Linked DNA regions of Schizosaccharomyces pombe. Changing the gene in region 3 together with the main gene of any one other region gives a genetic interaction. Each region holds a gene or a part of one and is shown on either strand. Other genes may lie near its edges.

Region 1 (6,539 bases), 490 kb from region 3:
AGGTTGATCGTTGTTGAACAGAGAGGCAACTGTCGTGCTCAAGTGCTAACTGCTTTAAGATGCCAAAAACCATACCCTTGCAATTAGCAAAATAATGCTAGATTAAAAGGTTATAGTTAGATCAACTATGCTTTGTTTAAATAAGTAATACTTATAGCTTGATTCTGTTATAATCATGTTCTCTCCTTGTACCGTTAAAGAAAAACGTTCAACTTTGCGAAGTGTCGCTCCCAACCCGGAATCTTCTGTTATACCTCCAATTCCTTTACCATCAAGAAGGTATAAAACAAGACATATTGATGCACTTTGTTCGTTGATGCACCTTTGCTTATTGCGCAAAGATTACCCAAGGGCATCTAGGGCTTTTTCATTACTGTTGAGATCTAAGAGTGTTGACATTTCCAAATTATGGAACATTGGACTTGAAATTTTGAACAAAGTTAATCCAGAAGCTTCATCAGAGTATATGGAGCGACTAATAGCTCGATATCCTGCGCGTCCATCCATTAACAACTCTTATCCGAATCGTAATGTAAGTGTATACTGGTACAAAACGTCTATACTTTCATCTTTTCGTGTATTGAATTTTTTGTCCCTTCTTATTTGAAATCAATCATATGTCGCAATTCTATACTAACATTTACAGGCAGAACATTTTTTTCCAGCATATATCATGCTACTTATTCAGCGCCAAGAATACAATAAAGCTATGAAGTTGCTTGATGAGTATTTGCTGTTACCACCCTACAATCAGAATCCTGCATTGCATGAGTATTCCGGAATGTTGTGTTTTGAACTTGCCAAGGAGGAAGCTTCAGAATCTGAGCGAACTAAATGGATTGAAAAGGCGAAATACAACTTTTCAAACGCAGGAATTGACGTCGAATTGTAGATTTAACATTCCCATGGCATTTCAAAAAGCACATTAGTATATTTAATATTTTAGATTGACCATCAGAAAAATTATGTATATTAGCAAATAATAAGATGGGAAGATACATTTAAATTTAAATTTAAAACTAATCATTAGATAGCCAACGACTGTATAAAAAGATTGTTAAATATCTATAAGTTCAAGTTGGTATTTATATAAAAAACATAAAGAATGCAAAAAATAAGATAACGAAAGAAAAAATTATTTTGAATAATAATTTAAAACCAAAAAAATTAAGATCCACTTTGATCTGTATTAATCGTATTATACATTCCCATAGAAAGCAAGTTCAAAATTTCGTTAATTTTCTGTTTCCGTTGCGCTTGCAATGAGCATAATTGCTCAACGAGCTTTTCACGAGCAGCTTCGTTTTCAGCTGTAAAAAGATCAACTTCGTGTTTTGAGCTTAAAGACGAACGGTTCGTTTTAGTATCATGACCAACAAGGTTTTTGGTCTCCGAGATATCAGCTAACTCATCAGTACTCCATATTTGAGAAAAGTAAGTTACGTATTTTTTTAATTGATGAAGCTGAACTGTTTCAAGGTAATATCTAGCAGTTTTCAATGTATGCAGAAATTTTTTACACTGGTGAATCAAATCCTCCCGCTGATTTACCAAGTAGTTCTCGTCATTATTGGTACGTTCATTCCATAATCTTTGGCAAGTTTCAGTTTCCCGAACTGTTTGCTCCAACGCCTCCATTGCCAAATTATAGGTTAGTTGTTTTTCAGCAAGAGATGCTTCATGGCATTTTGAAAGTTCGCTCAGCTGAGTGAAGACATTGGGAAGGGTTTGGTGAGTAAGTTTATTAGAAAAGTAAGAAATAGGTTTTTTGGACGATAAGTGGTCATCAAGTGATTGCGGATATTTTAAGTTATCTATCAAATTATCCTCGATTTTGGAATTTAAGGGGGAATCATCATTTTCGGGAAAAGACATGTCTTTCGAAGACAAAAAATCTGTTGGGTATTGGCCCTGATTATTTGGTATGGAGGATGATGCATAAAAGGATAATAATAATCTCGCGCATTTCTTTGCACCATTTCTAGCGCAGATCAAAAGAGCGGTATCCCCATGATCATCCTGAAGGTTTATAATTTGGGCAGCGACATCAACGGATTGTGTTGCAGTTAAATTTTGCAATAAGATATCCATATAATAACGAGCGGCTTCCATCTTTGATTTAGAAGAAGCTAATAATGCGATGTGGTGAAAGACGGTTTGGCCAAAAGAGTCGTTCATGCAGATAGCAGATTGAAGCAACTCCGAAACTACCTCAAAAGTCTGTAAATCATAGTTCATGGTAAACATTACACAGCGCATCAAAGATGTTTGTTGAAGGTAATTGACAGCAACTACGTTGGCGCCTGCTTGCAATAGTGCATGCATCATTTCCAAATTTCCCATTGCAGCAGCCCAATGAAGTGCTGTATGACCATCCTCATCAATGCCAGCATTAACATCCCAATCTGATGGCCGATCATATACGAAATCAGGAGGTTGTGTAGTATTTGGTAATAAAAAGTAATCCAAGAGAGACTGCGCATAATTGTTTGAAGAAAACGGAGAAGCTTTGATATCGTGCAAAGATCCCGTAAAGGAATCAGAAGGCATATCGGGAGAGCGCGTGAAATCAGATTGAAGAGACAAAGCATCATGGATTCCTGACATTCTAGAAGTAGATGTCATATTATTGGAAGATGTGTAAGGGTAGAGTAAAGAATGCGAAGGCCGGGAAAATGACTTTTTTACTGGACTGTTTCGTCGATATGCTTCTGTAGGCTTACGATTGCTCTGAGGAGTGAACGTAGACATTGGCATGAACGCAGAGCCAGAGTATTCAATCAGAGGTTGTATTAAATCAAAAACATTATATTCATGAGCAAGTTCAACAGCTCTTTCAGAGGGTACCCAAGTTCCTGAATGAATAGTTAGTAACAGGCATCCAAAAAAGTATAAATTGATAAATAAAAACAACAGAGACAAAAATTTTATGTTATTTAAGTAGTTTTAAACCTATTGATATAGTAAGAAGTTAACACAAACCTTGATATTTTCCACAACCACCTTGAATTTTTTCATGAAGTCCCTTTTGAGCGAATTTCTCCAGAATCCTTGTCCTCCTGGGTTTATCGAGCTCTGCAATTTTAAGGATTTGCGTGGCATTAAGCCAGTTATCATGACAACGTTTCATTAAAGGAAAGCCATTGATCGTATACTCAAATACTTCCACTCCTGAATAGGTGATTTTATGTATTTGGTCGTTATACATAACGGCACTATTGGCAAGCAATTTAAAAAAAAGGAAGGAAGGAAGAGCTTCAAAACTTGATGCAATAACAACGTTTCGTCTCTCTAAATGTTTGTAATAATTTAATGTCTCAACTCCACAGCGCCAGCTATTAATATCATATAAAAAAAAAAACGAAGCAAATGAGAAAGAAGAAGCAAATTGAAATTTCCTCTACAAAATATCGATAGTTTTTGAAAACCGAGTATTTATAGCAGATAAAGTCGGAAATACATATGATACTAACTGCATGCACTAAAGAAAGGATATATTCTCTCAGCGGCGTTTGCCTCAAAGATTTTTTCAATTAAAAAGTATTTAACTCTATGTTTTGAGTTAAAAACAGATGTTTTTAAAGACCTCTGCTATCCCTAAAAATCCACGTATCTTACCAGCTGATGTAAGATACTCAACTACCAAGAACTTTAATATGTAAGGACAGAAACCTTTCGAAACTTTCCAGATCACGATTTGTATAATTTAAATCAAAAAGCTGTAGATTTGGGTTTATCGACTACGGAGCCGATTTAGTCCGGATTTTTTCAACAGCGAGATCTCAGAAAAATCGAAAAACACTGCTTCTTACTCACCAAAAAAATCCCTAAAATCACAGTAAAGTGCTTCAGGAAATGCGGATCCTTTTTTTGATAAAAAGGAAATTTGCTTGCTTTTTTAAGATCTCACACAAACAGAACTAAATCTTTCACCCTCTCTTATGGTGAGTTAGTGGTAAACGATAAATACTTGAAGGTTACATATTAGTAACTCAATTATTGTACCATTCGATTCCACTATGTTAAACCAATTGTATTACATAAATGATAAAGAATTTCATTGTTCAACTCGAGTTTTTCTAATAAACCATTTTTATTTATAGACTGCAGTGACTACTTATTCAAATTCACATTGAATATGAGAATAAAAACATTCCAAAATTTCTTAACATTTTCTTGTCATAATAAAAAGTTAATCACCAGGCTTCTGTTTAAAGGTTTTACCATTATTTAATATTTGGTATTTCAAACACAGAGCATAAATACCCGTCGCAGAATTGAAAAATAAAATCCTAAATTTTTTATAATTGCCCATTATATGCGTCTTTCGAACGTAAATAATCATCACTAAAAACCAAATCCTACAAATTTTTACAAAAATAATACACAAATACCATTTTGTGAAACATTAATTATCCCTCAACTCAATATTTTGGTAGCTTCATTCCTAACTGTCATCTTGGAAAGATTCGAATAACACAAAAGAAGAAACAAACACAAAAAAAACAGATTCACGGAACTAATCAAAAGATAGATGGATATGTGCAAAACAAAAGCTTAACAAGTAAACCAATTTCCTTCGTCTATTATAGAGAAATTTTTGAATACCGCTAAATGCAATCGCTTTATAGAAAATTCCTTCTAATATGAGTTGTATCTATCACCACAAATATACAGATAAAAAAATTCTATAACATATGTAAATACCAACTAACTTCACTCTCTTTAAAAAAGCAAAGCTAAAAACCAAAAAAGATACTTATCCAATTATTCTCTTTCCTCCTTCCAAATTTTTAAAAGAAACATTACCATAAGCTCATTTGGCTTGGTACTGCTGTCTGTAAGCATCCATTGCCTTTGATTCAGCTGCAGTTAAGTCTGATTTGGTAAAGTCAACAATGTCGTCCAAAGTAAGGATGGAGGAAACGGGTAAGTTAAGCTCCTTCTTCAATCTACCAATGGTACTTTCGTTTACTTCGGGGTCCAGTCGCTCTTGGCGGTCAAGCAAAAGGACGATACCAGCCAATTTTACGTGCTTAGGTTCTAAGAAGGAAATTGCTTCACGAATGGCAGTTCCAGCGGTAATAACATCATCCAAAAGTAAAACCTTTTTACCTTCCATTTCGGCGCCTACAAGGTTACCTCCTTCACCATGGGACTTGGCCTCTTTGCGGTTATAGGCAAATCCATAGCTCTTTCCAGTTTTTTCATAAAGTTTGACGGCCGTTATAGCAGCCAAAGAGATACCCTTATAAGCAGGACCAAATATGACATCAAAATCAACGTTCATAGCGATAATAGTCTCGGCATAGGCTTCTGCAAGAGCGCATAAATCGGCACCATGAGTGAAATTACCAGAATTGAAGAAGTATGGAGATTTTCTGCCTGATTTTAAGGTGAAAGTTCCAAACTTCAAAACATTATGTTCTAAGGCACGACGCAACAACTCAAGTTTATAAGACATGTTTACTACTAGTTTTGTTGATAAACGTTGATACTCACAAAAGAAAAAAGCTAGTATCACCTTTTCTAAGCTCTACATGGGGGTTATGTGGGGGAATAAACAAAAATCATAACTAAAGAAAAATGCAAGTTTGTAGGCAAACTACTCAATCTATAATCTAATGTGCAAAAGAGAATTAATGTCCTATCAAAATGGACTTTTTTCCTTTTATTAAAAAGTTTGACAAGTGCTTTTGAAGAAGCGAAATAATCTTGTCTCTGATAAAGTGCAATCGTTAACTTCCACTCAATTCAACCATGTTGGCTGAATTTTATCAATAACGCTCATATACTGGTTCACTCGATCCAAATTTCTGACATGTGAGTCTCCAGTCCAGAAAAGTTTCCAAGGTGTTTTGCTTGACTTTAAGGAGCCTACACTTCTTTCAAAGTACCATTTATTGACTGGATTAGTCAGGCGAGAGCGCCATATCAACTCTTTGGGAAATAAATCAGTCATAACATTAAACATAACATCAGATATTGCTGCTGAACCCTGGGCTCCTTGTGAGACGGCAAGCTTATCAAGATAAGGGACCTTTTCATTCGTTGTTCCATCTGGTTGTTCATAAGTTACAATGGCTGTCCCTAAATAGTCCCCTGCAATAATGACTGCAGCTAGCGAATTCTTCAACCTATCTAAATATGCGTCCATATCAAGCGTTCGCTTAAAGGAGTCATTAATTAAAACCCAAAGCCTTTCCCACGAAACGGAGCCATCAGTTAGACATTTCGGACCTAGGAATGTATATACCGGTACACCGCTACGCAAAACAGTTGTTTTCGTAATAGGAGATCGATCGCGCGGCAAGGAACATGAAATAATAGAGCGATCCGTCAAAACATTGTGAATTAACGGATTTTTGTCTAAGACAGGATTTGTAAGCATAGCATCCTCAGGCGTAGTGATTAGAGCAGAGGCATCATCCGGTAACATTTTCAAACAGCGTCTTACCAAAATCAAATTTTTTCTATGATAAGGTGGAAGTGTTTTCGCTAACTCGTCAAACTCTTGAGCCAGATTGATGAGAACATGA
Region 2 (6,166 bases), on a different chromosome or scaffold from region 3:
CTGTTGGCTCGAAGTAAGCTCGGACCATCCTACAATCGGTTTTACTACGGCTAATTGCCCAGTTTCACGATGTTTGGCTAAACGTGATGAATTTGGTCCTCCTGATCCTAAGGAAAGACCAAGCTCCCAAGGTCCAACTTCTGAAATTGTACTCATACACTTCAACTATTCAAAAGAACCAGTAAATCGGTGAAGTGGTGATGGCCAAATCCAAACCCCATTCATAGAACAGCATATGTGGGATGTTCTCCGTAATGCTCCCTAAACTTGTAAGCTATAGTATTTGAGTGCATTTAATTACAACAAAATATATATGTGAAATTGATTTTAACATTTGTAAAATTTTTAGTATATAATTTGTTGTTTTGTCTTAATCCTTCCTACTTGCAACTGTACTTTAGGGAAATATCAGTTAATTTTCGTGATGTTCAAGAAGATACGTATAATTATTAGTTTTTACAAAAATCGCTTACAATTAGTGTATTCAACATTGTTTTAAAGACCGTAATCAAAATTGGCTCTACTAGTAGTACGGTGTAGCAATTACTGCTTTTGTAAATGATCAAGATATTTTAGTTCAATGTTTCACAGTTTAATCGTTGAAAAAATATTACTTAGACAACTCTGTTAAAAAATGATTGAAAGGACTCTTAGAGCCTTCAAATAGGATTGGAGCTCAGTAGTAGATTTCAAATGGCTACATTCACCTGCCTAAAATATATAACTATCTTAATGAGCACATACATAATCTCTAAATAGTTTGACTATTTGACAAGTTTATGGCCATAAGAAATCAACAAAATTATCTTTTTTGAATACCTTGCTCTACTGATATCAATTTACAAGATGCATAAGTAAATATAGTTGCCAATCGTTAATTCATTCATACCATATATACATCGTTTTGCTATTAGAATGTTAAAAAAAGATTCATAGAAACGACAACAATATTTGATTTTTAATCAAAACATTGACAAGTCTAGATATGAAAAGAAGGTAGTAATATAAACCTAATCAAGTTTCCCATATCATGATTATCTTCCACACAATTTGAATAGATAAATCAATAGAAAGAAAACATTATCGGTATTTATTGACATCCGCTGTTAAAATGGCATCAGTATTATGAAATTATTCATTAAATATTATAGTTTTTGAAAGAAGCGGCGAAGACAGCGCAGATTGGGCTTGATAATTAAAAGTAACTGCGACGCTTAGCACTGTGTTCCGTTAAACATGAGTAGTCTTCTTCTAAATGCCTTTTTTGAGAACAAGGTTGAGGGAGGGACGCGACATATGCAGACGCTGTACCCAGATCACAACTCACAGATACGGCAAGTGGTAAGACGCTTGCAAAAGGCATATTAAATGTAACTGGACCAGTAGCATTGTTCAATTTTTGAGCATTATAGCAGTAAGCAACACCTCCATTGGACTTAGAAGTCATTGGCCGATATACTCCAACCTTTGGTGAAGAAGGAGTTGGTGGTAGACTAACTGGCTTAGAAAGGCTTGACAACCGACCCGGTAATACTTGAGGATTTACATAAACTTGCGGTTCCATAAGCGGTATTTGTTCGGGTGGCGAAGCAGTAGTCAAAGTGCGGGACTGATTTGAAGCCTGAATATGTGCTTTACAGACATTCATAGGAGCCAGTTGTTTGGCAATGGGTAAAACAGATGGAGTGGATGGAGGGGTACTGCCAACAGATACTGGAGTAGAAGGTGCCATCGTAAGAATAGGTGATGAGTCTTGAGTTGTTTGAGGAGAAGAGGAGGGCTTCCTCGTAGCCTGATTCTTCAAAGCAGCATTAGCATTCATTCTGCGATGTGCTATCTTCGTTAAACAGGCAATGGAAAAAAGATCATCTAGAGAAGATTGAACATTAGAAAACAAAGAGACCCAATATTGTGCGACGCTGCCAAATGAGGCAACATTAGGATCGGTGGAATCATAACGTGCAGTCGCGTGAGCACAACATTCACCAACTAAAAGAGACCATCTAGCAAAAATATGTTTAGGAACGACAAGACGATAATCGATGCATTGGTAAAACATATATTCCAAAACAAGTAATTTGTCAACTGGAAGTCCTGATAGGCGAGACCAAGCACGATTGCTAAAACTACGATCCTGTAAAAATTTTGTAGCGGCCATCAAGCAGACTAAGAAAAGACGACGCCCACATAACAGAGGAATGTAGTTAGTAGGCTTAGAAGAAGCAGCATCACGAAAACGGATGAAGTAATATAAAGCAAGAAGCAACGTAGTGTAATCGACACGACTTCTGCGAATCGTTTCATACAAAAACTGAGTAAGTGAAAGGGAGTGCGAATGTGATTGTTGATTTGTACTTTTAGCCAAGGGGTAGATAGAAAGAATCACGGTACTAAAGGACTCGAGCAAAGCTCGCATGTTAACTTTCGACATCGTGTAGAGAAATATCTAAGATGAAATTTTAAGCAGCTGTTGGAGAAAAATGAAAACTTTTAGCAAGCTTTTTCTCAAAGAGAAGAAAATACGAGTTTATGAAAGGGAAAAAAGCTAACAATGAAAGCTTTCGACGAAAATTTAGTAGAAAAGTAAAAATGGATGACAAAAATTGGAAGACGAACACAATGAGGAGAACGAGTAGATTGACTAAACAGTGCTCCTAACTGGAAAAAAACAGAAATCTCTAAAGGTATGCCATGTTGAAGACACGTACCCAAAATCAGTTAATATTATTATACAAGAAAAAGAAGCTTAGTAAGCCTAAAAAGTTGCAAAAATGAAGAGATAGATGTGTTGGCGAAAATAGTCATCCAAAGAAAGAGTGTAAGAAATAATAATGATTGCTTGAAATCGAATCTTCAAGCGCACAAAGTCGAATTTGAAGAAAGAAAATAAAGCAAAACCGAGATTTTGGGGACCAGGCAGATAAAAGGAAAACTTGAACTGTGTAAAAACCCAAAATAAGCTAGAAAGGAGAGATTGAAAAAATGAGAGGGAAACTACTTAACCAATCTCCTTAACGACGATAAAAGATGCAATCTCTAGAAGAATTTGTTGGCAGAAGAGAAAAACGAATGAAGCAAGGGATGGGATTCAACGATTGAAATATAAGCTAAGATGAATGCGGAAAATAAGCAAAGAAAACAGACCGACAGATAGATAAATAAATAATAAATAAATGTTTGAAATTACACGAAACCGTATGCGAAACCCAAAGTTAATCGACGAAACCAGCGACGGAGTTAGAAAACGTTAAAGCTACAGGGCGACAGCAGACGAATGAAACAAAGGAAAAGTAGATAAGCCTTTTCCCGAGAATTCAAAGAGGCGTGATATTGCAGTCAGCAGAGTAGTTGGAACAATGAAAAAAAGAATAGAAGAAAGAGAACACAAAGCACCTAAACCCAGACAAGCAAATAGAATAAAATAAAATAAAAAGAAAATGAAAAGTTATAATATATCGTGACAAAGAATTAAAGAAGAAGAAAAGAACCCTTCAGGTAGTAAAGGTCTAAGGTGAGAAAGATCCGTAGCGAATCAAATAGATTAGATTTATAATACAGCAGCACCGAATGGTAGGTTACGAGATTCTTCACAAAATGTTTAAAGGAAGGAAGAAAGAAACCAGCAGACTAATTATGTGTCAAGAGGAAGTAGGATTCGATGAACGATGAAAAAAAAAAGTAAAGAAGATGTTAATGGATGAATGATGATTCCCAAACAAAACAAGAAAAACACAATCCAAAACGAGGAAAATTGAGAATAGCACAAACACCAAACCAATTCTATCTAGGCTGAAGAAAGGAAGACGAATGTAACAAAAAAGAAAGGATGAACGTTATGTTTTGTATGGTTGCTTAGCAGAGGGACGACCGGCTCTTCTTAGGAGAGATGACTGATGTTATATATGCAAAGAATGGAAAAAAAAGGTGATTGTGGCAGATCTATGATTATATGAGATAAACATCAGTCGCGGCTTGTCAACCACATTTGTTACCGAGAGTGGCAGGTAACACTATCTGCAACAACGAGATCCTTTGCACATCAAACGTTAGTCCACCGTGATTTCACACCACTGCGTAAAGCAAACATCCATAATTTCAATGGGGTAAAACGCGTCGGTAAAGTTGGCGTCTTGGACTGCCGATTTTGTGAATGATAAGACGTGGAAGTTAAGTCAAGCCGGGACGTTGAAAGGTTTGGAAAGCTGCATCCAGAAAGGCCTCAACAATGGAAAAATTGGATCAGAGCAAGGTTTAGCAGTTGAAAATTGGGAGGGGGCGGAAGATTGGGATGGATAAATTCTGTAATGTCTAGGTATAGCGAAGGGGAAGGCAATGCGGAAAAGGATTTGAGGAAGGAGGCTCATAGGGATAGATGAATGATGTTTGGGGGGGGATATGAAGGACATGTGGTAGTTGGATCAATTTGCTTCCAATCTATTCTAGAGGTTTTCTTGCTTTGTTCCAAAAATATGAAAGTGGTGTCCATGATTCATGGCTCCGATAGATTCTGATTCCTCATAAGAAATTTTTTTTTCTTTGCGTTTCTTCGCTATGTTACCCAAGTTTTGGGCTGCTTTAAGCGACATTGGATTGGCTCAGCTCAGATGCCAAGCAAGTAATAGTAAGAGAGAGAGACATTCAAGGCGGATTCCACTATCCATCAGAGAAGGTGGGATAATGGGGTGGTATGAAGATGAAATGATTTCTTTAAGCGGAGTGGATGGATATTTTGAAAGAATTGCTAATTGTTTTACTTTGTGATGTGTAAAATTGCAATTTCTGTGATGGCATCGCTAACTCCATCGATATCGCTGATTCCATCAGCACTCGAAATGGCGAGCAAGCTTGCGCAACTTGCGAAGGCAAAGATGTAGGATGAAAGTAGCGATATTATTGATGAATACAGTTGTTGGGCAGGAAATATGATGGGCGATGCGATGAAAAGACGCGAATGGTTAAGAATTTGAAGAGTGAAAAAATAAAAGTAAAATAAAATTAATACATTAAATCAAAAGCAAAAAATAAAATTTATAAAATAAATCAAAAGTAAAAGTATCATTTTATAAATTAGTAATGAAACAAAACTTTGAATATGGAAAATCTCTCCATTAGTTTATTGAATAAACAAATATTTCGAATTTTTATTATTGTACTTTAAAATTTTTAAATTATTTTACCTTATAATTAATTTAATTTTTATAATTTACTTTTTTGCCCTTTAAATTTTTCTGTTTATTATTTATTATCATTCATGAATTTAGTATAATCTTTATTTTATTGCTATTATAATTTCATTAAATATATTTTGATTTCTTTTTTTCTTATTACGATTGAACACTTTTCCTCTTCTTATGGTTTATTTTGTTTTCTTTGAGTTTCCTCAACTACTTTCACCGTTGCTTTCTTTACTTTTTTTTTTCTTTCTTTAATTTATGATTATTAATTTATTATTTATTTTTTACCATTTATGTATCATATCCAAATTTTTTTTTTTTTTTATTTCTAATTTCCTATTATCCTTACTACATCCAAGCCATCCTCACTTCCCCTCGCCTCTCTTCTCCAACCGTAGCATAAACAATCCTTTCTTTCACAAAACTTTTTCACCCCCCTCACCTCTTTCTCTTTGTCCCAGCATTGCTTACCCTATCCTGCCTACCATTAAATCCCACATCCCACATCCCAGCTGTTATTGTACTTCCCAATTCTTTCTGTATTTCTGTACTGCGCTGGTTCAACGAAAACGCAAACATAAAATTTCCTTTCACCCACTCGTCCCTTGTTATCGTTGTTTTTTATTTTATCATTTTTATTTACTCTTATTTTGATTATTTTTTACAAGTTATCAGCGAGCGTGTTTATTTATCCATCCCTCTTGTTATCAGTCCAAGGAAAACTGTTTTACCGACCAGCGCATAAGCACCAAATCTGTTTTTCTTGTTTTATCTTTTCTAATTTTCAATGTATGCTTTTCTTTAGTTTTTATCGTGAGAAACAGCATTTGGCTTACAATTTTTCACATTCACATTCACATTCGCATCACATCTCATCTCATCCCATCTGCTACTCTTTGGCAGCACTCACGGATTCCACGCAATTAGCCCAAATCCGGTGATCTGTAAACATTTTTTAGCTTTCCAACAAGTGCAAACCTGACGGAATCCTT
Region 3 (4,852 bases):
TTCATAATTAAAAACAAGTTTCGTTTAAAACTTACCTGCAAGTAAGTTGGTTTGTGGATGCTTTGGAGAAAGCGTTGTTGTTGAACAATAGTATTCTTCATTTTTTTCTTTTTTAATTAATAATTGTTTTAATAATTATAAAACGAACCAATAATCAAGTTAACAAGTTAAACTGTTAAAAAAATGAGGGTTAACGATAAAATGTAGGTAGGTGCGGAAAGGATTGATGGTTCCAATTAGTACATCTTGGTGCCAGAACACAGAGTCAACCTCATAAACTCACATATTTAAGTATATTAATAAGACGGTTAAGTGAAAGATATTCGTATTATTAAAAAAATGCTCCTTTATCGTTTTTGGTATGTATCATTTTAAATTAATCTTACTGAACGAGATTAACGCTAATAATATAAATTAATTGTTGTCAAATAATTTAAGGACGGAATCATTGTCAGATTGATTCTTCTTCAAAAACTAAAGCTATCTCCTTATAAGCTATTGGGGAATCTCTTTCAAACATGGTATAAATGCGTCCATGGCATACTCGGAGCAATAATAGTATAGCGATCAAAGTTAATAATGAAGATGCATTTGCTTGTACTTATATAAATTCTTATGGTTGTTGAGATAAGGGAACAATTTTATACTGAGTTACATATGTTCTATCCTTCATCAGTATTCTCTACAAACGCGAAAATTCCTTGTCCATTTAAGCAATTCGTATTACAAAGCTCTATGTTCATATTATACGAAGGACGTTGAAAGTTTTTAATTGATTCTGACAATGACTTACAGATAGAATATGATGGTTTGAGTTATTGAAAATGCTAAATCGTCTTTTCAAGTAATTGATGAACTAAAACAGTTTCTTATACATTATATTTCAGAAAGTACTTTAAAGATACTCTGCTTTCTTCCTTGTTTTTTTTTTTTTTTCTTTTTTTTTTTTTTTGGAATACTAATACCGAGAAAACTTTCGTCAAATTTTATGGGCCTAATAATAATCTTATGAAATTAAGGTGCACTTAACCGAGCTATACTTTAAAGATTACAATTATCACAACTGAACACAACATTATATTGTTGGGGTAAACCTTTAAATTTCATGCATTTGAAGAAAATTGATTGCATTAGCTTAAAATATAGCTCACTTAGTGACTGGATGATCATCATAATATTATGTCGAGTTTTGTTTATTAGTCTTCCACTGTGAGCTGTTCAAAACTAAGATTATTTAACGTATTTTCATTGGCATAGTGTTGGAGGAAGTTAAAAATAATAAGCAAAGTAACCTCTGGAAGGATAAAACTGTCTATAAAAATAGCAATTACGCTACAAAAGTTTATAGCTTTTACGGCTTTAATGCTATTCTCATTTACAGGTACTAAGACTCCTTTGGATGCTTAGTTACAGTGATAGGGCATAATTAGAATCTTCAATAAAATAGGGGTTTGAAAAACTAAACTACTTGTGAGAAAGAATTAAGCCTTACGTCTCTTTGAGTGAATTCCCTTTTCTGCTTTGTTAATCCATAATCTGCTGTATTTGACTTCAAAATACAACTTTAATTGATTTACTTTTAAAAAGTTGATTGATTGGTAAATTGAAAGTTTTTGCTGGACTTCTGCTTATTTTCACAACAATTATATTATAAAGGGTTAAGTGGTGTGCAATTGGTTTTTAAGAGTTTGAAGCAAGCTCCATGTTAATTCTAATTAAAATAAAATAGAGTGATTAATTTTAAATGGAACGGAGCAATGCTAAGCTAAATATTGAAGATTGGGTCTCGTTAAGAAAGGTTTGTGGTGCAATTTGTTTACAAGGCTTTAATGTGATAAACGGTTGACGAATGAATGAAACCAAATGGAAAACAACTTCCAAAATATTTAATAAATTTTTTAAAATTTGTTTCGCTACGATAGTCAATGAATTGACCCAATGCAGGAGAAATTTGTTGTTTCAGTAGCATTTCTGGATTTCGAGAAACAGATACATTTTAATTAATTTAATGTGTCGCCTTATTTTTTTAAACATGTAAATGACTTTTTTTCTTATGCATATTCTTTTTTTGAGAAGTTATCAATGTTTTAATTAAGTATGGTTGCTATGAGGCATGTAAACAAATGGCAACCAATTCATGTGGTAGGTGAGCAACTTGGTAATAGAAAAAAAAGTACGGTGCAAGGATATGGTAACAGTTGAGTAGCTTAAAATGTAAAAAACAACTTAAGTAACTTTTGTTTTGTTTTAATCCGTAGGATTTTATTCTCTCGGTTACTTAGCAGCCATCACATTAGTAACATACTTGTTACCTTTACCCACTGTACTTCTTATTTTCTCACCTTCTTTTCCTTGGTTCCATTTCTCGACCACTATCTCTTTCCCATTTTATCGCAAACTTATTTTTCAATACTACTTTGTGAACTACATTAAGCCTTTTGCTTTCGTTCTTCTTAGTAGTGCTTCTCTCTCTTCGGACATTGATCACTCGTTTTTTGGAAGTTCGATTTTGCGGGAAAGTTGAGATACACCATTTAATAAAGAGACTATTTGATTAATATTATAGTCAATTTTCGATCAATTCTGTGTTTTTTGTCCATTTCGCACCCACTTTTCCGTTGGTTTGTGAGACTATAGCTTTAAAAGTGAACATCTGTGTAACAGGAGTGATTGAAACTATCGTTTTTGGTTTTGATTATTTGTTTTTCTTTCCTTTCAATTTTGTTTTTTTGTGTTTAATTCGCACTTTTTGGAAGCTTCTGCTAGCTGTGTTCATCGCCCTTATCAGAAGCCTTAATCTTTTCGTTTGTTGGATTTAATTATTTATTTTGCTCGAACAATAGTAATCGTGGTATCCTGTCTCCTCTCTTTGACTAAAATCCAAAGCCATGCATTTTGCAGACATTCCTCTTAGCAAGCCATGTCTGAACAACCCCCCAACATATCCATGGTCATCCCCAATTTTATCCAGTATTGCTAATCCTTCACTATGTGATATTGTATCTTCTCCATCATCTGTTTCTTCCTTTGCTTCCTCGGATGATTTTGCATTCATGAACGCATATTGTCTGCCCATACAACAAAACCACCAATTTGGTAGTCCAGTTGCTGCTTCGCCAAACCAACAACCGCTCGTAGAAAGCCAAAATCGCCGGAATGTCACTTATGCTTCTTTAGTCATAGGAAAACTTGGAATTGCTCAACTCATTCGTCAACAAACTGATCCTCCTCAAATTATCCATAGAAAGCAAGACAAGGGCTTAATGGCAAGGGTCTTGTCTAGATCCAAGAAGCAAGAGGAGAGAGAGAATCACTCTTCTGATGCTCGTGATGCTATTAAATCTGCCCTTCGAAGGAGAATGCGCCGTCGTGAAGGCCGTGTTCAAAAGGCTTTAAGGCCCACCCCTAACTTAATTTGCTCAAAATGCAATACCACGTTCAACCATTCAACGGCTCTTATGATGCATGAAGCAACCTGCTTGAATCAAGTTCCCTTTAAGCTTTCGGACTTTTTTGTTGAGGACGTGATAGATGACTGGCTCTTTTAATATTTCCGTTCATACAAAGAAGCAGCTTTCGTATCTAGTAGCATTACGGATATGTAATAATTATCGCTTATTAATGACGCTGGTTATATAAAGCGTATTAAAATTTTGCTCAGTCGTTTTACTCTTGAGAGCTTCATCACTTCTTTTAGAGAAGTTATTTTGAGATCATAGTATAATTTACTACATCAATTAGGTAATCAAGAAATATAGTTTGAAATGATAGAAGACTGCTCTTATAACCTTGTTTTAGGAAACGATCATCTATGCACTTTTTTCTATGTTTTGCTATCAAATATCACTATTACAGACACTATCTTTTTATTTTCGCGAAAGCTATAATGAAATATATTACAATACAGCTCACACTTCATCTAGATTGAGCAAACATACTGTAAAGAGGAAACACCAGTTCTAAAGTTACAACTGACTTTAGTTTAAGGCATAGGATAGGCATTTTATTCACAGATTTGCAATTGATTTAATAAGAGGAAAGTAAAATAGGACTATGGAACAAGGCTATCGTCTTAAAAAAACCTAAGAAGGGAAATCATGTAAAAGATAAACTATTTTGACACGAGAGGAGGGAAGCAATGCATGCTAATGTTTTGAAACATGGAATGAAAAAATGACTTATAAAAACAATATTTTAGGGGCTCTTTTAGTAGTTTCATGCAGGGATACGTTCTACACGGATATCTCGATATTCGTGTACAGACGGGTGCTTGGATAATAATGCAACTGCGTCCGAATCCCAGCCACTTCTCCAAAGATGAGCGCCAACAGGTTCAAGATCATAGATTGAGCAAAACTCAGAGAGGTCAAATCGTTCGCGGACAAGTGCATTAGAAGGAATACTAATACTAGATGACTTTTGCCGCAAAACAAGGGTTAAGATACGGTGTTTATCTTCTCCACGGTGAACAATAGGAGGCCGATATTGAAAGAAAGCTTTAGAAGTATCAATGGGCACACGTTTGGATGCTTCAATGGGGATATTCGTTAAAAGCCAGTTGCAATGAGTCTCAAACCGGTTTGTTTCGTAATTCGGGACATCCAAATCTAGTGTTATAACTGAATAATGATTCTTTTTACAATTAAAGGGTAAAACTGATAGCCACGGGGTCTTTACAGTAACCGTACTTGGCAAGATAGTGCCAGGAGTGATAGAATCATTATTTTCGGGGTTAAATCCTAACTGTACGTCGACAGATGGCGAAAATGAGCCAATCCCAGAGTCCTTTATTACTTTCATCTGCTCCAATCTTTGTAAAAGAAGCAATTTTTGATAATCTTCCCACTGTTGC
Region 4 (6,180 bases), on a different chromosome or scaffold from region 3:
TCTTTTAGGAGGACTCTTCTTCAACTTCTTTTTCATTTCTTTACTAGGTTTAGGAAGTGCCATAACCCAGTTTGGAACCTCGCAACCTGATGAACGCATTACACCAGCAATAAGCTTGATATATTCACCATCTTCCTTTGTAAAAAAAGTAACGGCCTGTCCTGTATTTCCTGCACGCCCAGTTCGACCGATACGATGAATATAACTATGAACACTTTGAGGAAAGTCAAAGTTGATGACCATCTTTACACCATGAAAATCGATACCACGAGCAAGAAGATCTGTTGCTATTAAAACCCAAATTTCACCCTTCCGAAATTTCGCAAGTGCTTCTTCGCGCTTGGCTTGTGGTAATTCTCCATGAATGACACCAACGTGAATTTCATCAAATAAGAGTTCTGTGTACAATGCTTTCGCTCTTTCTATATCTTGAACAAATATTACGACTCGAGGCTTTAACTCTCCATTTGAAATCATTTGACGCAAAATCACAATTTTGGAAGTATCCGAACCAACAAACAAGAGTCTCTGATCGATGCTATCCGTGGCTGCATCTTTCAAACCAACGATGATTCGAATCGGATCAACCGTTACGACTTTAGCTAACTCTTCGACGCGTGATGGAATAGTAGCGGAAAAAAGGCTTTTACAAATATTAGAGCTGGTGCATGCACTTAGAATATGATCAGTTTGTTCAATAAAGCCAGGCTCAAAAAGTCTATCAGCTTCATCCATAACAAAGAATTCTACTTTTTCAAAGGACAATCCGGTTTGTATTGCTTGTACTAATCTCATCGGGGTGCCTATGCACATGTCATACTTTTCCCGGAGCTTGGGCGCTTTTTCTTGAATTTTTTCATTAGATTTACTTAATTCAATTATCTTCAATGAAGTTCCAAAAGACAGCTTTTCTGCCTGTCTATATATTTGCTCGCACAGTTCTCTAGTCGGCGCTACGATAATCGCTCTATATCCACCCGGAACATGTAACTGAAGTTTTTGCAAAATTGGGAATAGATATGCAATAGTTTTTCCAGAACCAGTTGGTGCACATGCCAATAGGTCTCGTTTAGAACCTATCGTTGGAATGGCATATCTTTGAATTGTGGTACATTCTGTTATGTTTTGTTTTTTTAAGTTTTCACAAAGTATTCCTTCCGGAAACTCTTCAATTGGATCAACAGGATTATTACCAGTAACTTTAGCTTTTCCCTTAGTAATACCTTGTAATTTTTTTGCTTCTTTTTCTTTTATAGAAGGTTGAGGTACTTTATTCTTAAATTTGACATTAGTTGTCAAAAGTTTCAACGCATCCATTTCCTTATGCAATACTTAATTATCAAAGTTAAAATATTTTAGTAGATATTTCAACGAAGGAACAAAAATAAAAGATTGTTGAAATTTTCAATTATACATATACACGACTAAAGTAAGTATGGTAGCTGCTGGGGAAAGGCTGCACTAACGTCCTCTAGTTAAACCAGTACGTTAATTCAAATTGTGTATTCCAACAGCGTTATTAAATTTATGTATGCTAAGTAAACATAATAAATGTATTCAAAAAAACGCGATTTCTGCGTTTATAGGTTACATATTTTTATATCGTATTTACGAGAAATACTGCTATAGATTTTCTTTCAATTAAATAATTGATTATTTGTATTAATCACTCTTTTACCTATTTGAACAGGACCCTCAAATTAAAGTGAAGCTCAGTAACTTGGTATCCTTTAGATGATCATTAACGTGCGAATGCAAAAAGGATGAATCATGAATGGAAGCACGCGCTGTAAATGAGATAAATCATTTTACAATAGTAGATTGTTTTAGCTGCGCATAAATAAGTAACATAATAGTTTTGTTAGGAAGGAGCAATATATGTTTTTTCCACTTGATTCCATTCGAAAATAATATATAAAATAACTCGTGTTTTTCTATCAAAGTATGATAACGTTGATAAATGCAGTTTGACAGTGAGTGTCATGGATAAAATCATTAACTATCATAACTCGTATCATTAAATAAAGAACGTAACATTAAGACAAGATGTAAATGAAAGTTTCCAAGATTCATTTTTCTCGGGTTAATGCTTCTTCCACAGCATCGAGTATTTCCAAACTCAAATCTTCAGGGTTGATGCCACAACTCATTGCAATAAGACGACGGTAACTATTAACTGTATCATCAATTCCTAGTTCTTCATACAATTTTCTAATATACAAAGTATCTTTTTTGCGGGAAGCTTGGAGAGAAGTTAACTTATTAATTAATTGCTCATATTCATCAGAATTGGTCACGTTGTTGCAAGCCGGCTTTTTAAAATCGTTATTTAACGAAAGTCCGTCTTCCTTTTTTAAAAAGTCGGAAGGAAAACTAATAGATAATGAAGTATGTGGCTTGAGGCTTCTCTCTAAATCAAAGATTTGTCGTGCTTCCAACCATATTAGTAACCTCTTCGAAAGCTGCTGGTAAGTTTCTTGGGCCTCTCGAATCAAGTTTTCCATAGATTGACTATAAGTGGGGTTATTTTTCTGCAGAAAGGTCAATTCCTGATAAGTTCTGGAAATTTCATTAAGCGTGTCTTGCTTGAGACGATTCGCTCTAATCAAATCTTCTTCTTTTTCTCGAAGCTGAGATTCATACTCCTCTGCTAATTGAGAAAATTTCGAAGATATTGAAGGAATTGCCTTAACAAAAGCATGCGATGAGCATGATGGCGAGATAATAGCAGGGCTTATTCCGGAAAATGAAAAAGCACTATGCGAAGCATTTGAGTTTGACTGTAACAATGAATGTGGCTTTTTGTCAGCTTCCAAAAGATACTCGGAAGCTGTACGTCTTTGTCGGTTAGGAATAGAAGGATTGGCGTTATAACTTAATAAAGAGTTTACACAATCCATGGCTCCATTTCGAGCAGCAATTAATAGAGAGGTATCTCCATTTGAATCTTGTAGATTTACCAATCTCACAACATTTTCAAATGGTTGAATCGATATTAGTTTCTCTAATATGCAATCCAAATAGTATTTGGCCGCTGCAACTTTTGAAGGAGTTGAGGTTGATTGCACAATATGATGAAAAATTGACTGACCATTGGTGTCAACAGCATAAATAGTAGACTGGAGAAGCTCAAGCACTTGTCCAAAAGTTTGGCAGTCATAATTATTGGTAAAGATAACACTCCTCATCAATGGTGTTTGACTCAGTCTGTTACACACGCCAATGTCAGCATTGGCTCTCAGTAATAACTTAATCATCTCTATATGTCCCATTGAGCATGCCCAATGAAGAGAAGTGTGGCCATCATCATCAATAACACTGTTAACTTGAAAATCCGGGGGCGGCGAATACAGGAAGGAAGGAATGCGTCCCTCTTCTGGGTGAAGAAAGAAGTCAAGTAGTGACTCTTCATATTTGTCAAGCGGTGCCTCCAACATGCCTAACTCTTCAACAGGTTTTATAGTGTTATCATTTGGTGATAGCAGTGCATTAGGAGACGCTGGCAGAGGTGTTGCAGAAACTTGCTCCTCTGCACCAGGCAAATTCACTTTATTCATAGATGACTCAATTGTTGGTGATATAGAAGAATTCGGTTGTTTTTCATTGACGGAATGCAAAGTGCTACTAGAAAGTGACGACGGTTTACGGCCTCTACGGCCACGTACAGAAGGCTTTTTCTGCTTGGTCTGCTTCTTCTTTGGAGCAATTGCTTTTCCCTCATCAATGTCAAGACTCAATATTGGGCTCATTATTCCGTCAACCTTATACTTTGTGGCCAGGTCGACCCCACGCTGAAATGGAACCCAAGTTCCTATAGTTTGGTTAATACCGTCAATCATTTAGAGGACGCGTCCATAGAGATATTTAATACAAAAAGGTATTAAAATACCTCGATTTGGCTTAGTAAACACTCAATTGTTCGCGTTGTTCAAAGATAGCAAATCATGTCACAACGCGTAACAGTAGACAACTTACCCTGATATTTTCCATATCCACCTTGTACTTTTTCATGCGCACCAATCTGTACTTGTCTTTCTAAAACCCTTGTCCTTTGTGGTTTGTCAAAGTCAGCCACTTTCAAGATTTGTGTAGCATTCAACCAGGAATCGCGGCGTCTGCGCATCACAGAGACACCTTTAATAAAGCATTCATAGACTTCAACCCCAGAATAAACGGCAACATGTACTGCGGAAGAACGTGGAGCCATTACAGCAAAAGGCAGTTAAAATGCGTAGCGCGGACTCTTAAAAGGGTGCATGCATTGCGTTCGCTCACCCTACCTGCGTATACACATAACAATAGGGAAGGGTGGGGCAATACAGAAAATCAACTATGTAGTTACTGAATATATATTAGCACTAATTAAATAATGAGTATTCACTTAATGAAAGGAATCAATGGGAAGTCTCAGTTGCCAAAGAACTACACTTGTAATACTGAATTGCAAAGGAATTTAAATTACCAAAATTTTAGATATGTTATTAAGTAGAAAAAAATCTTATATATATTCCACTCAGAATTCATCTGCATTATGAGCATTTTCCAAGTAACGTATCGTCGTAGTCGCCATCTACAATTTTTGCTATTCTTCTAATTAAATCATAATTAATTTCGTCGTTGACCACGCTGTCTTGCTTATAAGAAGGATGAGTTGTAATGAAATTGCGTATCCACGAAGCAGCAGTCAAGCATTGGCCATTTGCTCTTTGAGAAATTAGGCGAATATAACGTTCAATTAGGCAAATAGTTTTGGCATCAGGATTACAAGAGTATAAATAGCTTCGAACAATGGTAATTAAACCTGGGAATCCGTTTTCACGGTGCTCACCATTAAATAACTCGTCAATTGTAAGTTGACGGAACTGACCAGATTCATCATCAGTACTTGCGTCAGGAAATGGATTGCAACGGAACCAAAACTTTTTACGATGAATGGCATCACGAGCATGAGCAGCTTTCATGTTTTCATCCACTAGCGATATCGGCATGTACAGATTCAAATTGAAGGATAGAATTGCACGAGAAAGCATCACAACAAAAATTGAATATGCCGCATTTTCAAAATCAGTTATTTGAATTTCCATTGATCTAAATTCTACACGCCAACCAATATCACTACCTGGTGGAGGAGGTTTAAAGCGCATAGATTGCCAGTTAGTTGAGTTTAGGTTCTCAAAATGAGCATTGGATACACTGTTGTCTTGTAAAATGCTGTCACTGAAAATAACCAAAGGATCACGAGAGAATATGTGAGCCATGTGCTTAGCCAATCTTTCATCAATGCAATCTTTTATTAGCTTATCGTAGCAATCTTGATTTATAACGACCGGGACGTCATTATATTCCGGTAAATTGCGCTTGTCATTCGAGATATATAAGTCAACAGAATCATACCTTGATTTTGGCACAGTTTTCATTTCTTCCTCGGTTCGATCATCGACAGCACCAGCAATCACATTCCATCTACAATCTTGATCAGCCAAATAGCCTCGAAATGCTGGAGTTCCGGCAGATAATGCCAGCATCAAGGGGGTAATAGGAGTCAACTGATCGTATAAAAGTCTAGCTTCATCACAACTTTTAGCTTGGAATGTAATTTGTAGACAACAGCATCCCATACCGAAACCCATACTGTCCATGTAAATATGATTGTCTAACGCTGCACCATCTCGTGCATTTGCATCTTCAGGAAACAAATTTCTATCCCAAGGAACGGTAGGATCGTGAAATGGTTTAATTGTATTTTTATCGAAGAAAATCGGAACATTCATGGCCACTTTTCTCCCGCGCCTTTGACGAATATTAGCAGTCAAGGTCGGGAAACGAACATGTGTGTTGATAACATCGTCCGGTAAGAAAAAAGATCGCGAAATTGCACCATTGGCTTCGACTTCTGGATCCGTAAAGCCTGGTGTTCCAAGACGAAAGAAATTAGTAATTGTTAAAGGTAGCTCATTGGGTAGTAAATGGTTTTCAATAATTTTTCTTCTTAATCGCATATTGTACTCTACAAAAGTAAAATCCTTTAAAGTGGAACCATAAGGCGCACCTGGTGTACTTTCCAACATATAACGACCATATTCTGGATGGAAAGTAGGGACCGCGTTCTGCGCATGTGGTTTGGTGGAACTCGTAATTTCTATAGTATCTTTGTTTGAATTTCCTCCTATGCGTTCGACA

Evidence for each region.
Region 1: of rep2 (region 3) and res1, extra expression of one rescues a mutant of the other (dosage rescue), as found in Schizosaccharomyces pombe (3 studies listed by BioGRID, with this or other methods).
Region 2: mutations in rep2 (region 3) and pas1 are lethal when combined (synthetic lethality), as found in Schizosaccharomyces pombe (one study listed by BioGRID).
Region 4: of rep2 (region 3) and res2, a mutation in one rescues a mutant of the other (synthetic rescue), as found in Schizosaccharomyces pombe (2 studies listed by BioGRID, with this or other methods).

Annotation. Positions count from the first base shown.
Region 1 is NC_003423.3:1,230,004-1,236,542, reverse strand, and holds res1 (MBF transcription factor complex subunit Res1), read right to left. Parts: upstream 3,958-6,539; 5' UTR 3,209-3,957; coding exon 2,983-3,208; intron 2,856-2,982; coding exon 1,168-2,855; 3' UTR 956-1,167; downstream 1-955. Other genes in the region: RNA polymerase I transcription factor subunit Rrn11, read left to right, coding at 176-532, 647-892; orotate phosphoribosyltransferase Ura5, read right to left, coding at 4,817-5,464; acetylglutamate synthase Arg6, read right to left, coding at 5,750-6,539. UniProt on the Schizosaccharomyces pombe protein: Acts as a positive regulator of the mitotic cell cycle and as a negative regulator of sexual differentiation. May be involved in the transcriptional regulation of the cdc22 and cdt1 genes. Is an integral component of the DSC1-like complex.
Region 2 is NC_003424.3:1,358,836-1,365,001, reverse strand, and holds pas1 (cyclin Pas1), read right to left. Parts: upstream 3,870-6,166; 5' UTR 2,432-3,869; coding exon 1,196-2,431; 3' UTR 828-1,195; downstream 1-827. Other genes in the region: serine/threonine protein kinase Cdr2, read right to left, coding at 1-156.
Region 3 is NC_003423.3:1,715,336-1,720,187, forward strand, and holds rep2 (transcriptional activator MBF subunit Rep2), read left to right. Parts: upstream 1-2,367; 5' UTR 2,368-2,888; coding exon 2,889-3,548; 3' UTR 3,549-3,987; downstream 3,988-4,852. Other genes in the region: cytochrome c oxidase subunit VII Cox7, read right to left, coding at 36-101; mrpl35 (mitochondrial ribosomal protein subunit L35), read right to left, coding at 4,216-4,852. UniProt on the Schizosaccharomyces pombe protein: Transcriptional activator which interacts with the mcb binding subunit complex formed by res2 and cdc10. Rep2 is required for the mitotic cell cycle start.
Region 4 is NC_003424.3:684,620-690,799, reverse strand, and holds res2 (MBF transcription factor complex subunit Res2), read right to left. Parts: upstream 4,266-6,180; 5' UTR 4,208-4,265; coding exon 3,976-4,207; exon of another isoform or gene 3,812-3,975; coding exon 2,070-3,811; 3' UTR 1,621-2,069; downstream 1-1,620. Other genes in the region: ATP-dependent RNA helicase Rok1, read right to left, coding at 1-1,317; glutamate-cysteine ligase Gcs1, read right to left, coding at 4,530-6,180.